Linked DNA regions of Drosophila melanogaster. The protein of the gene in region 3 interacts with the protein of the main gene of each other region in a pairwise test. Each region holds a gene or a part of one and is shown on either strand. Other genes may lie near its edges. The genes, in order: Npc1b, CG13144 and bowl.

Region 1 (3,755 bases), on a different chromosome or scaffold from region 3:
ATCCTCCAATTGATTGAGGTAGTTAATGGTATAGTTATTGCTATCGACATAAGAGTTCTCAAAACGATCCATATCGTGCTGGAAATATCCATAAACCGACTGGATTGCGCAGCGATCGACTGTGGGCGTTTCACCAGCCATTAAGACAGGGGCATAGCAGATCTTATCGAGGCCCTCATTATCCGCCATACCCAATTTCATAATAGAGTCCTGCAGCTCGAAGACTTCCTTTAGGAAGTTATACTCGAAGGCTGGACCAAAGTTCAGGACACCATTGGAAGTTTCGTGGGTGAACTGTAAAGAGTATCGAAGATTTTGATAGATTTTTAGGAGGGCTTTTAAACAAGTTACACAAAACTGGACAATTTTAGTGTCTATTATTGTTGCGATTTCAAATGACCTTTTTACTTAAACTGACATTTTAACAGCCTAGTTTATTGCTACTTACATATGTCTGATTGACGGCCTTTACGAACATCTGGTTGGTGCGATAGAACGGGCCGAAGTGCTGATCGAAATAGTCCTTCTCGATCCTCGTCTGACTTTCCTCGCCTGCCCATAGTTCCACAGGATCCGTAGTGATGGTCATGTACCGAATGCCGAAGGACAGTCCGGCGATGGCCCAGGAACAGAGTGCCAGAACTATGACCGGGTGTTTGGCACAAAAGGTGCCCCAGATGCGGAAGCCATGGTAGAAAAACTCGCCGAAGAGGGTGGGCATGCAGACACTAGGAGCCGATGTCTTGCCAAAAGCACCCCAGAAAATAAAGAACGAAAGGGCGCAGGCGATGATTAATGCCAGAATAAAGGTGACTCCATACAATCCTGCGATCTTCCACAGCTCGTCGGGACCCGTAGGAGCATCGGTCAACGGGCAGGACTCCTCGCAATCGATGCAGGCGCACGCGTAGCTGTCCTCGTAACTCTCGCCGCACTTCAGGGGGCTCAGATCGAGGTATATCTCATTGGAACCCTCCTCCGCGTCCTCCGACCATTTGTAGTTGATCTGGAACGGCACGTAGTCGCCGGAAACGTCGCCCATGAACTCGTACCATCTCCGGTAGTTGCAGGTCTTGGCATTGTAGCTGCCACAGCCCAGATCCATGGCAGGACGTCCGGTTTGCGTGTGCTGTATACCAATGCAGCTGTTGTAGATCTTCGATACCGTATCATCTGTAAGTCGATAGTCAATGTATTTCACATAGTCCACTCCTGCATCGTTTGTGTCATTGTAGGCGGTCAAGAAGAGAGTGTGGTTCTTGGCACAGGTCATGGCGCATACGGTCAAGGCCATGTTTCTTGTGCAGGTGGGACATCTGGAGAAGACACCATCTGCTTGTGATAATCCAGATTCCATGGTCTCGATTTGGGCCGCATCGCAGCACAGACTGAGCTCATCCTCCCCACTTTCACCTTTGTACTCCTTGTACAACATTGGACATCGCTTGGCGAATATGGCTTCTGAAGTTGGGCTATTCAGAGGTCTCGCTGGATTCGTGTCGCCCTTATTCACCCAATGGGCACCTATCATGTGACTCTGACCATACCAAATGCATCCCAACTGCTCTGCGCTTTGCGACCAAGCTCCGGCTATAAGCCATATAGTTGCAAAAATCACTTTCATTCCGACACTAAAAAAAAAAAAATATAAACAAATAAGCCTATAGAACTCTACTCTTCGTAGAGAGTGAAAACAATTCGCGCCGGCAGCACGCCACTAACTGAATCAAACCCAGCCCAATCCACTGACCATTAACACATTAAAAGGTGGGCAGGCTATATCGGAAATCGGGTTGAGTACCCATCGATTAGATTTCCCCCGTTTCCAGTTTCTTTCGCTATTTTTTTCCCCCGTCCTTATCGCCAGGTGATAAGCTTCTGAATTCATTTGGATTTTGTGTTGGAGCAGGCTTAATGGGTATGCAGAGGGACCTTATCTTCACGCGGATTAATATGTTCACATAGCGACAGGTGATCGAAAAACGATTAGATATTAGAGGTCAATTCCGAATCTAAGTCCCTTGCAGCTAACTTCTTTGGATGGCAGAGTAACCAGACAGTAGCTCTCTTCGAAGGTCTTTCATGCAGACACAAAGCTTTATAATAATACTTAATAATGAAATGATTTTACACTTAGATTTGTAATTGGCTTCCCCCAATATTCGCTGTTGATAAGAAACTTAGTATCTGTAGCTCGTGGAATCTTTTTGATTCTGTTTTTCAGCGCTATTGCCGTTACCTTTATTTTACTCAAACATTTACTATATTTGCTCTTGGCAAAGGTGCACAATAATCCTTAATTCAAACTTTTTCACGTTAACACTTCGCTGGAACTGCACCTGTGCAGACACCTGAGCTTGTATCTTGGGCTTATCGTATGGTGAATTGGCCCCAGAGCAGCTGGCTCAGCTCGACGGCACAATAAAATCGCGATCGGCTCTTGGCTGGAACACCTGTTCCCTTCTTTGTTGATAAGTTAAAAGACCTCTCGAGACCCTCGACTGCCGTAAAGTTTATACTGCTCGGCAACTTCGGCGCGAAGGTCTTAATCTGCGCCGGATGAGTGATTCACTGAGAAATACCAACCACCTGAAGTAGCCAAAAAATTGTTGGCCAAGCGAGTGGCATACGTTTGGTTTCCGGGAATCGAATGCTTCGTTCCTGGAACTAAATTAGATTTGAATAATCTCCAATCGCATTTGTAATTGTAATTAAACATACTATTTTATATTTGAGTCTTGGCAAGTTCTCCACAACGTAAATTTATATATTCAATTTCAATAGATGTTGATTTAATTGTGATCATTTAGGAAGAGGAACCCAGAAAATGATTCGTGGCATATATGTACATAAGTGTAGAGCTTAAAATTAAAAGCCTTCGTTGGAAAGTATTTACAGATGTTAGTAAATTTTTGGGAAAATTCTTTAAAACAATTGCCTATGTGTTTATTCGATATTTATTCGAAGCAGAAAATTGTAATCGTATCTCGTTCGTTTTATCAATCAGATGGCAAGCAATTTTTTTGCTTGATCTATGTGAAAGTCTGGTAAAATTTCATGTTTAGGTACAGTTTTTAAATTAGTCTAAATGAAATGGCCAAAAAGTTCTGCTACTCGGAGAAAAAGACCCTAGCGCGTATTAAAAAAAAACAGAATCACCGTGGAGTTCCGGATTCCCAATTTGAGAATGGTCAGGATGCTGAGGAGGAGGATGGTGATGGCGGTAAGGCAATGGGTCCAGAAATGGCACCGCAGAGTATGTTCTATATCTTATAAGTCTATAGTTCAAGTCAACTTTGTTTCAATAACTTAGAGTTGGGCATTCTGAAAAACCTTGCCAACGGTTATTTGAAGTTGGTCCACGAAATCGAGACCCACCTCTGCCTTCCCGCGCCTCGTATGGTCGAAGCTAAACCAGAGCGTGAGGTGGGTGGGAAAACCGATCAAAATACCGAAATCGAAGAGGAAATATCGCAATCTTCAGAGGATACCACTCATCCAGGAATAGGCTTTGTGAATTTGTATAGGCGCAATACTCATTTTGAGTGCTTGGGAATTCCTCTAACTTCCTTGGAGCTGTTCTCTATGGAACGCCAAAGAAATGCTGACACTGAAGAGCCGGCTTCATTGAAATCTCTTGATGAGCGGTTGAGTAAAGAGACCGAATGGGTTCCTGAAAGAAATATATCGAATGAAGCTGATTACGATCCACTCGAAAAGGTAAACATCATAGAAAATACTTCTAAATCGACATT
Region 2 (3,755 bases), 6.7 Mb from region 3:
TGCACGTTAAACGAACCCACTGAAGAGATCCCTGGGATCCAAAAAGAACTATGATAATCTGCAACCTGAATCTTCCGCTAGATGTTAAAGCACTCCGCACTAGCAGCACACTTGTTCGCAAGCAAATCCATGTTGGCCCACACAAAAGTGCTTTATTTATACCGCTAGCATTGTGTACATATATATAAATGTTTGTATTACGTATTACGGAGCAATAAGTTGTCCTGATCGGCGGACAGGCTCGAGCTGTATCCTCAGATTCCACCTGACCGCCGGCGGCCTTTAGATTTAGTTGTGCGAGCAGTTGTTGCAGGAATCCATGGCCTAGATTTGTGAAATATGTGGTTAACTTTGTATATGGGCATGTGCGACAACTGATTTTGATTATGATTGTCCTAATGCTTTGTACAATAGAATCTACACAGAATTTATGTAAAATCTTTCTGATTGAAAATGTTCCTTACGTTAACTACTAAGCAAATCAATTGCAGCCAAAGAAATCATAATGATGATCAGTTGACGAGATACCCCTTATATGTATGTTGAATGGAGCAGCCAGCACACTGGTTACCATAGTCGTGTGCTCCATGCTCCGGCCTCCTGTGTCCAAGTGTATTTTTGTAACCGTTTTTTCCACCGCGCACCGCAAAAAAGAGCGAAGAATTGCCAATAAACGTTATTGTCCACCTAACTCATCCTTTAAACCATTTAATCCACTAGGCCTCCTCATCCAGCCACTCCAGCCGGAACTCGCGCTCAAAGACCAGGCGATCGTACAGCCGCACCTCGCTAATCCTCGCCGAGATGTCCAGCCGCAGTTCGCTGACCGCCAGGTGGAAATTCTGACGCACCGTTCGCTGTTTGTCCGGTGTCAATTGATTGAGAGGTTTGCGAAAGATGCTGATGATGCGCTGCAGATGGTATTCCACGCTGGCACAGCGACCGATGCAAACCCACAAGTTCTCCGGATCGTGAATGTTACCCGGGAAGCGGGTGCGTTGATCGAAGGGCGCCTTGCCGGACAGCAGAGCTCTCACCTCGGCCACGATCTCCTGGTGCGTCCTCAGATCGCGTGTGCTGAGGGTGGTGAACTCATACTTGTCGCAAAAGTACATGAGCTCGGAGATGGCCACCCACGACTGGGAGCAGAGTGTGGCATGGTGATTCGACCAGTTGGTGTAGCCAGCTGGACTGGAGGTCTTGGTAGCCACGGCAGCGGTTGACGAGGAACTTGCATTGGGAGTCGGTGAAGTGCTCGTTGGACTGCCTGTCTTGGGCTTGGGCGTATCCGAACCATTTATGATGGACCTTCTTTCTGTGCGCTGCAGCTGCTCCATTTCCCGCTCGTGCTCCTTGGCCCTTAAATAGGCCTCCTTCTTCTGCTGCAACTCCTGAAGCTTGGTCATCTTTGGTGGCGACAACGACTTTGTGAAGATCGAGGGCGGTGGCGGCGCAGGAGCAGCCTGGTCGCCGTCTGTGTGTGCAATTGGTGTGCCGTTTGTGTCCAGCGATGCACTGCGTCCGTACTTGGCCCTATAGCGCTCCAGCGTGTCCAGCGAGAAGCTGAGCTCCTTCTTGATGGCCTTCTGCATGGTTCTGGTTTTCTGGCTTTATGTAATCACCTTGGGTGCTTCGATGCTCCGAATTGCACGCGTTCCCTTCGAGAATTTACAGGCGAATGCGAGCGCACATTCCGCATAAAGAGAGGCCGATCTCTTTATTTTTATCTTTTATCAATCGGCGGCGAGCCATGTGCACTTTATTTCGGTCTCTGCCAATACATTTTGATCGCATTCGCATACGAATGCGTACGGATTTTACGTTTGGATTTAAAGCAGCATTTGAAAAAGATTCACAGATGCAGAAACTCACAGATATTCAAATGCCGAACGCACATTTTGGGGGAATTCATGACGAAATGACCGAAATTTTGAATGGGTTCAATTCAGATCAAGGTTGGGATAGGGAACTTATGCACATTATGCTTATGTTTGGTAAGTTAACTTCTCTTTAACTTATTGATATAAAAAAATAGTCATTAACCAGCTTTCTCAAGTACAAAGTTTACATCTTTTATTTCATATATTATTTCAATAATATTTGCAAATGGCACACATATGTTTGTGATCTTTCGCTTTAAGTACAAACATTTTACTGATCGTTACAAATGGTTTCTTGTGTGCTGTGAATCATATTTGAAGAAATGCACAAAGTACATTTAATACTTTTCGTTCTTTTCGTCGGCCAGCTCAACCGGCGGAGGTGGTATTCCTCTCACATGGATGTTAAATAAATATCGCCTTAACGCATACGCATAATAGAAAAATGTACAAAATTACAATCATGTCGTCACACACAGAACAGATAAACAGATAGGACTAACTATAGAATGACGTATTAAAAACTACAAAGCGGGTGTTTGGCGGAAGGCACGGTATACACAGAGTCGTCATGTCCTTGGTGGGACACATGGGTCACAAGTAGAAAAGAGGGTGATGAGCCCAGTCTTAAAACTAGGTTCCATAATTTACAATACAGTTGGGCGGAGTTGATTCCGCCTAAACGCAGTACGCCGCCGGCACCTCGAAAATGATGTTGCCCTCTTTAGGACGGAAGTTGGGGACCTCCACATTGGACGCCGCCTCCACGGTAATAATGCGTGCCTTGCCGTCTAGGCGACAGGAAATATTGGTGGTCACATTCACACGCAACTCGGTTCCAGTGAGGCTGGAAAGGATTTGATATTAATATCTGGTGAACATACTAAATGGGCGTTCCACTTACTCATGGTATTTCTTGCACACAATGCCCACCACTTCGCCAATGCGATCTTCCTTGAGGGGCGTGTACTCGCTCTCCAGGGAAAACACTAAATCCTTGTTTTTCGACGAGTGGAAGACGATTAGTTGATCCCGGCCGGGTGAGACACTAATGGACGTCAACTGTAAGCGAAGTCAAGATACGGAATTAATATTATAATATAATAATATAATATATTATTATACTATCTACTAACCTCCCTAATTTTAATGGTGCGTTTCATGTCCTTAAATTTATTCTTGATACCGTCCAGTTTGTGGATGGTCGAATCGGAAACGATGAAGGCGCGATTAGCCTGCTTGTTGAAATGGTTGAACTTCTTGACGAATGAGGAGAAGAGCACTTGCTGGAAGGTCTCGCCGTCGGCGGGGTGGTTCCTTATGTTCTTTATGCTTCCGTTGTAGGCTTCATATCCGCTGTTCTCCTGCGAGTTGGCCAGATAATCACCCACCCAGCGGCGCGCTTGACCCCAATAGGGTCGTCTTCCGGCCAGCGCAGTGGCGGCGATAATCTGCAGACGTAATTGCGGCCACTCGCTGCGAGGATATTTGTGCAGGATCATGTTGGCTCGCCAGAAATCGAACATACGATGCAGTTTAGCCTCCACCTTACGTCCGGCGAGCGGCGGCTGTGGCCACTGGATGCTCTTGCCGTAGTCGCGCATCTGCTTGGCTTTCCGTAAGCGATTGGCCAGCTCCTGGACGTAGCTACGCAGTTTGTAGGCCTTATAGGCGCGCACGATCGTAATTGCCGCCTTCATCTTCTTAAAGTTTCTCCTCACAATCCATCCACGCACTCGCTTTTGCAGCAGCGTCACAATATGTGGGATCATTTCGTTCCTCTGATGCTCCAGGGCAAACAGGGTGCGTGGCGAGCGTATAAAGATCTTTGTGTGGCCGTACTTAACGTCCTGGGCGAATTTCTTTTCCTCGATC
Region 3 (3,755 bases):
GTAAATAATACTATAGATCAAACTAGAGTAGACTTGTTGAAAAAAAAACACTGGAATAAATAAGAAGCTTATAAACTATCAGCTTATTAAACTAAGTTTGCCTAAATTTCGTAAAATATATTTTTAAAACCTAACGCGATGCTTTGAAATTCTGTAAAATTAAAGTTTTTCAGAAATGTAACGTTATTAACACCGATTAATATTTTTAAATAATATTTTACAAATTGTGTACACCATTTTCAAACGAAGTACCCTTACCAAGAGCACCCATAAGAGACCCCCAGAATTCCAAGCGAAGGTTTTTCGAGTCCGGCTCGAACCGACCAACTCGAACTGAGCGCCACAGCAACAACAATGGGGCAAGCGGGTGGTTCAGGATGGTGGGGAAGTTTGCGGGGGGATGGGGGACGTACTCCACCGTGGACTGTGCGGCACCACACTGAGTTCAGTGGCAATGACAGTGGCACATGCAGTTGTAGTGGAAGCCGCTTGTCGGTCGACAGTCCGCCAACCGCCAACGTTGTTGCGCTCTCTTTCCTGTTTTTTCGCCCCGTCTCATTCTATTTGTGGAGCAGGTTTTGAGATATATCTTGGGTCTTTCTCTCTCTCTCCTTCTCTGTCTGCGTACTCGTTATATTTTTGTACTCGCTGCCTTTTTGGCCAACGCAAAAAATACCAAAATAAAAAAATAATAAACGTAATTAGCTAGCCCTACGCCACAAACAGAAAACAAAAAAAAAAACAACAAAAAATAAAACAAGTAAAAATAAGTGGTGTGGAATTTTTGTGTTCATCTGGGAAGGCAGGGCCTGTTCTCGGCGGAATCTTACCTGTGGGTTAAACAGAAGAAAGCCCCAGGCTCTTTGGGCTTTATCTTTGCGTCCTAAAGTATCCAAGTAGTTGTTTCAATATGATTTTGCTGGTTTTTTGTCAGTTTGTAAGCTTTGAAATGCTTGGCATTGTTTTTGGTTTTTAAAGTAGTAATTTATATCATTTAAGTGGCACTTGAATTGTATGTTGTTTTTTCTTGTTGTATTTGTTTGAAGACTTCTGTTAATACGATTCTGTGAATTTAAAAGTAAATAATTTTATTAAAATTTTCAAAATATTTGTCGGAAATTTTTTGTTATATTTTCAGGTTTGATTTTAATTTTAACAAGTATTTCACCGAATCATTCTCAAGTAAATGTATTTAAAAAAACACGCACACTAAGGGACAATTTTGAGATTCAAATCACGGCACGATCGCCCCAGGGGGTGGGGCTGAGGGGGCGGCAGGGGGGCGGTTACGGGAGCAGCAGCAGCATCAACGGCAGTCAGCTACCACAAACCACGTAGTTTTTTTCCTTCCAAAATCCACGTACAACTCGCGCACAAACACACGATGTATTTGTATCTCACAGATATGAAAACCGAACGAAGAAAAACCCGAACCGAAACCTCAACCTCAACGAACTGAAAACCGAACGAGAACGAGAGATACACGGCAGCTGAAATGTGTTTTTCTACATTTTGTTTGAAATAGGAGCTGAAGCCAGTGCAGCTACCAATTCGCTCCTCAAGTAGTCCCAAACTCTTCCCACACACAGAGTCAGTTGCAGTTGAAAAGCGCTTTTCTCGAGGCAACTGGCGATGCAACAAGTTCACTCACACACACACACACACTAGCGCTCTGGGCCCGCTCAATAAGATACATCGGCGGCGAAAGATACAGATAGATATAGAGCGAGAGGCACTCACAATGCAGTTCACTTTTCCAACAGCTATTACCAGCGATCCGCGCGCAGGTGCGTTGGCCACGATCAACTCTCGAAGACTGAGCCACGAACCCAAGAAACAGGGCCCGAATGGAAAAAGAGAGAATCGAGAGAATCGCGGGCTGAGAAATGCGTAGAAAGAGACAAGCGACGAGTAGCGAGCAGTGGCACTAAAACCAGCTTAGTGCACTGTGGAAAAAGTTTTAACAATTCTTAAATATCTGAAGAGTAAGGCTCTAATTTTCTGTAAATAACAACAGTATAAATCTATCTGCTTAAATATACTAGATAAATAATGGATGCATTTACATATTTTTCTGAATTAACTAGTAACTTATATTCAGTTTGAATATAGTACGACATTTCTTTCAGTGGAGGAGAGGAATTAAACCGAACTCAACCCAAACCCAACCGGCCGCCAGTCGCACGCTGCTAAATGGACGGATGGGCCCGTGGACGGACTTATATGGAGACTGGCACTGGCGGAGCGTGGAACGTGCATTCGTACGACGAGTTATTGTCAGTTAGAGCGCTACCTGTTTACCGACCGACTACCGACTACCACCGACTGCTTTTTTTTTTTTGGCCCAGTCGAGAGGGTAGGGTACAATTGGCCCGGGTGTTGCCAGATTGCCGTTGCTGCTGCTGCCCATGGATCGTTATGGTGGCTTCACCCGAAAAGGAGGAGGAGGGTGTAACTCTGGTAGTTCCCTGTTTATTGTTATGCCTTTTTAGTGGGGGTGTATTTTGTTCTTCGGCTTTTGTTGCGGTTTCATTTAGGGGAATGACTAATCAGAAAGCATTTTTAGGGAGGCAAGGTGATAAGGTTTCTTCGAAGAAGGGGTTGCCAAGTCGAAAGTTGGGGTGAAATAAAGTGCATTACTCACACGACTATATATCTATATTATGACAAGTTCCAATGTTCTACTGATAAGTAAATATTTATTTGGAATAATTAGTTGGTAGCTTTAGGGAAAAATATTTATACATATGTATTTAAATATACACTGATGATTAATCGGCAGCCGAGTTATACAATTCATTTATGGAAATAGGTCGTAAAACAATATAAGTCTAGAAACCATCTTATCGCCAGACTGACTTTTATTAATGGTAATTAGTCCTTATAAAAGAAGGCGAGCACGGGAACTTGGAAAAAAATAAAACATAGGTAAATGATTGATTCGAGCTAGGCTATGTAAATAGGTCTTATATTATTATAATAGACTGTAAAATTTCTATTCTAACAATCTGGCAACCTCTGCTCGCAATGCAGCATCAATGCGGTCAAGTGGTAAAAGAAAAGACGTTAACAAAAAGACCAAAAATCAGCTAGGGTCCCAAAAGTAGAGGGAGTTACGTTTCGGCCACGACGGTGATCATGGTCGTAATGATTCCGAGATGCAGAAAAGAAAAACCCGAAAAGTACCCAACAAAAGAGAGTCCGTAGCCATGTAATTAAGGTGCTGCACAGTGGAACTAAATTGTGGCTGCTGCCACTGCAAAAACAGTAAGTGGAAATGGAGATACAAAGCGGCAACAGGCAGAAGACCAGAAATAAGTGGTAGAAAAGAGAAGACGGAAAAACGGTAGCTGCCTCATAGGGCGAGCGAATTGTTATGCTAGTCGTCGTCGACTTCCCCCATCAACAACTGTTGCTCTTGCTGCACTCGGAAAATAATTTTCAGCATATATAAATAACAATAAGTAAATAAGAAATAAAATAAATAATTACCATAATTGGTCTCCCTTATAATTGGATTCCACAATACATAAAATTGAAATTGACTATTGTTTAATAATAATATCTAATATCTAACCCTTACCTTGCTCTTTTTGCTTAAAATAAAGATGTACAAATAAGATATATATGCTAATGCGAACCATAAGATCGTTGTGATTTTTCTGAGTGCCCGTCGGTTGAAGTGGCTTCCCTCCTTGCATATTTTGCATCGCTTTACGATTTTAAAATAAATTACTTGAAATTTGTGTAAAACA

Evidence for each region.
Region 1: the proteins of bowl (region 3) and Npc1b interact in a two-hybrid assay, tested with the Drosophila melanogaster proteins (one large-scale study listed by BioGRID).
Region 2: the proteins of bowl (region 3) and CG13144 interact in a two-hybrid assay, tested with the Drosophila melanogaster proteins (one large-scale study listed by BioGRID).

The regions. Positions count from the first base shown.
Region 1 is NC_004354.4:20,932,822-20,936,576, reverse strand, and holds the start of Npc1b (Niemann-Pick type C-1b), read right to left. Parts: upstream 1,709-3,755; 5' UTR 1,625-1,708; coding exon 449-1,624; intron 295-448; coding exon 1-294. Other genes in the region: CG11227 (uncharacterized protein), read left to right, coding at 3,094-3,256, 3,314-3,755. UniProt on the Drosophila melanogaster protein: Important for cholesterol absorption at the midgut epithelium. Acts only in the early steps of sterol absorption, prior to Npc1a-dependent intracellular sterol trafficking.
Region 2 is NT_033779.5:10,489,773-10,493,527, forward strand, and holds CG13144 (uncharacterized protein), read right to left. Parts: upstream 1,683-3,755; 5' UTR 1,593-1,682; coding exon 717-1,592; 3' UTR 128-716; downstream 1-127. Other genes in the region: Myo31DF (myosin 31DF), read right to left, coding at 2,559-2,727, 2,785-2,942, 3,017-3,755.
Region 3 is NT_033779.5:3,769,770-3,773,524, reverse strand, and holds the start of bowl (brother of odd with entrails limited), read right to left. Parts: upstream 1,826-3,755; 5' UTR 1,652-1,825; intron 1,606-1,651; exon of another isoform or gene 1,510-1,605; intron 1,500-1,509; exon of another isoform or gene 1,209-1,499; intron 1,065-1,208; 5' UTR 831-1,064; intron 1-830. UniProt on the Drosophila melanogaster protein: Putative transcription factor. Required for leg joint formation, acting downstream of Notch to pattern the leg tarsal segments. Functions in the terminal pathway during embryogenesis, acting downstream of tll in the posterior of the embryo.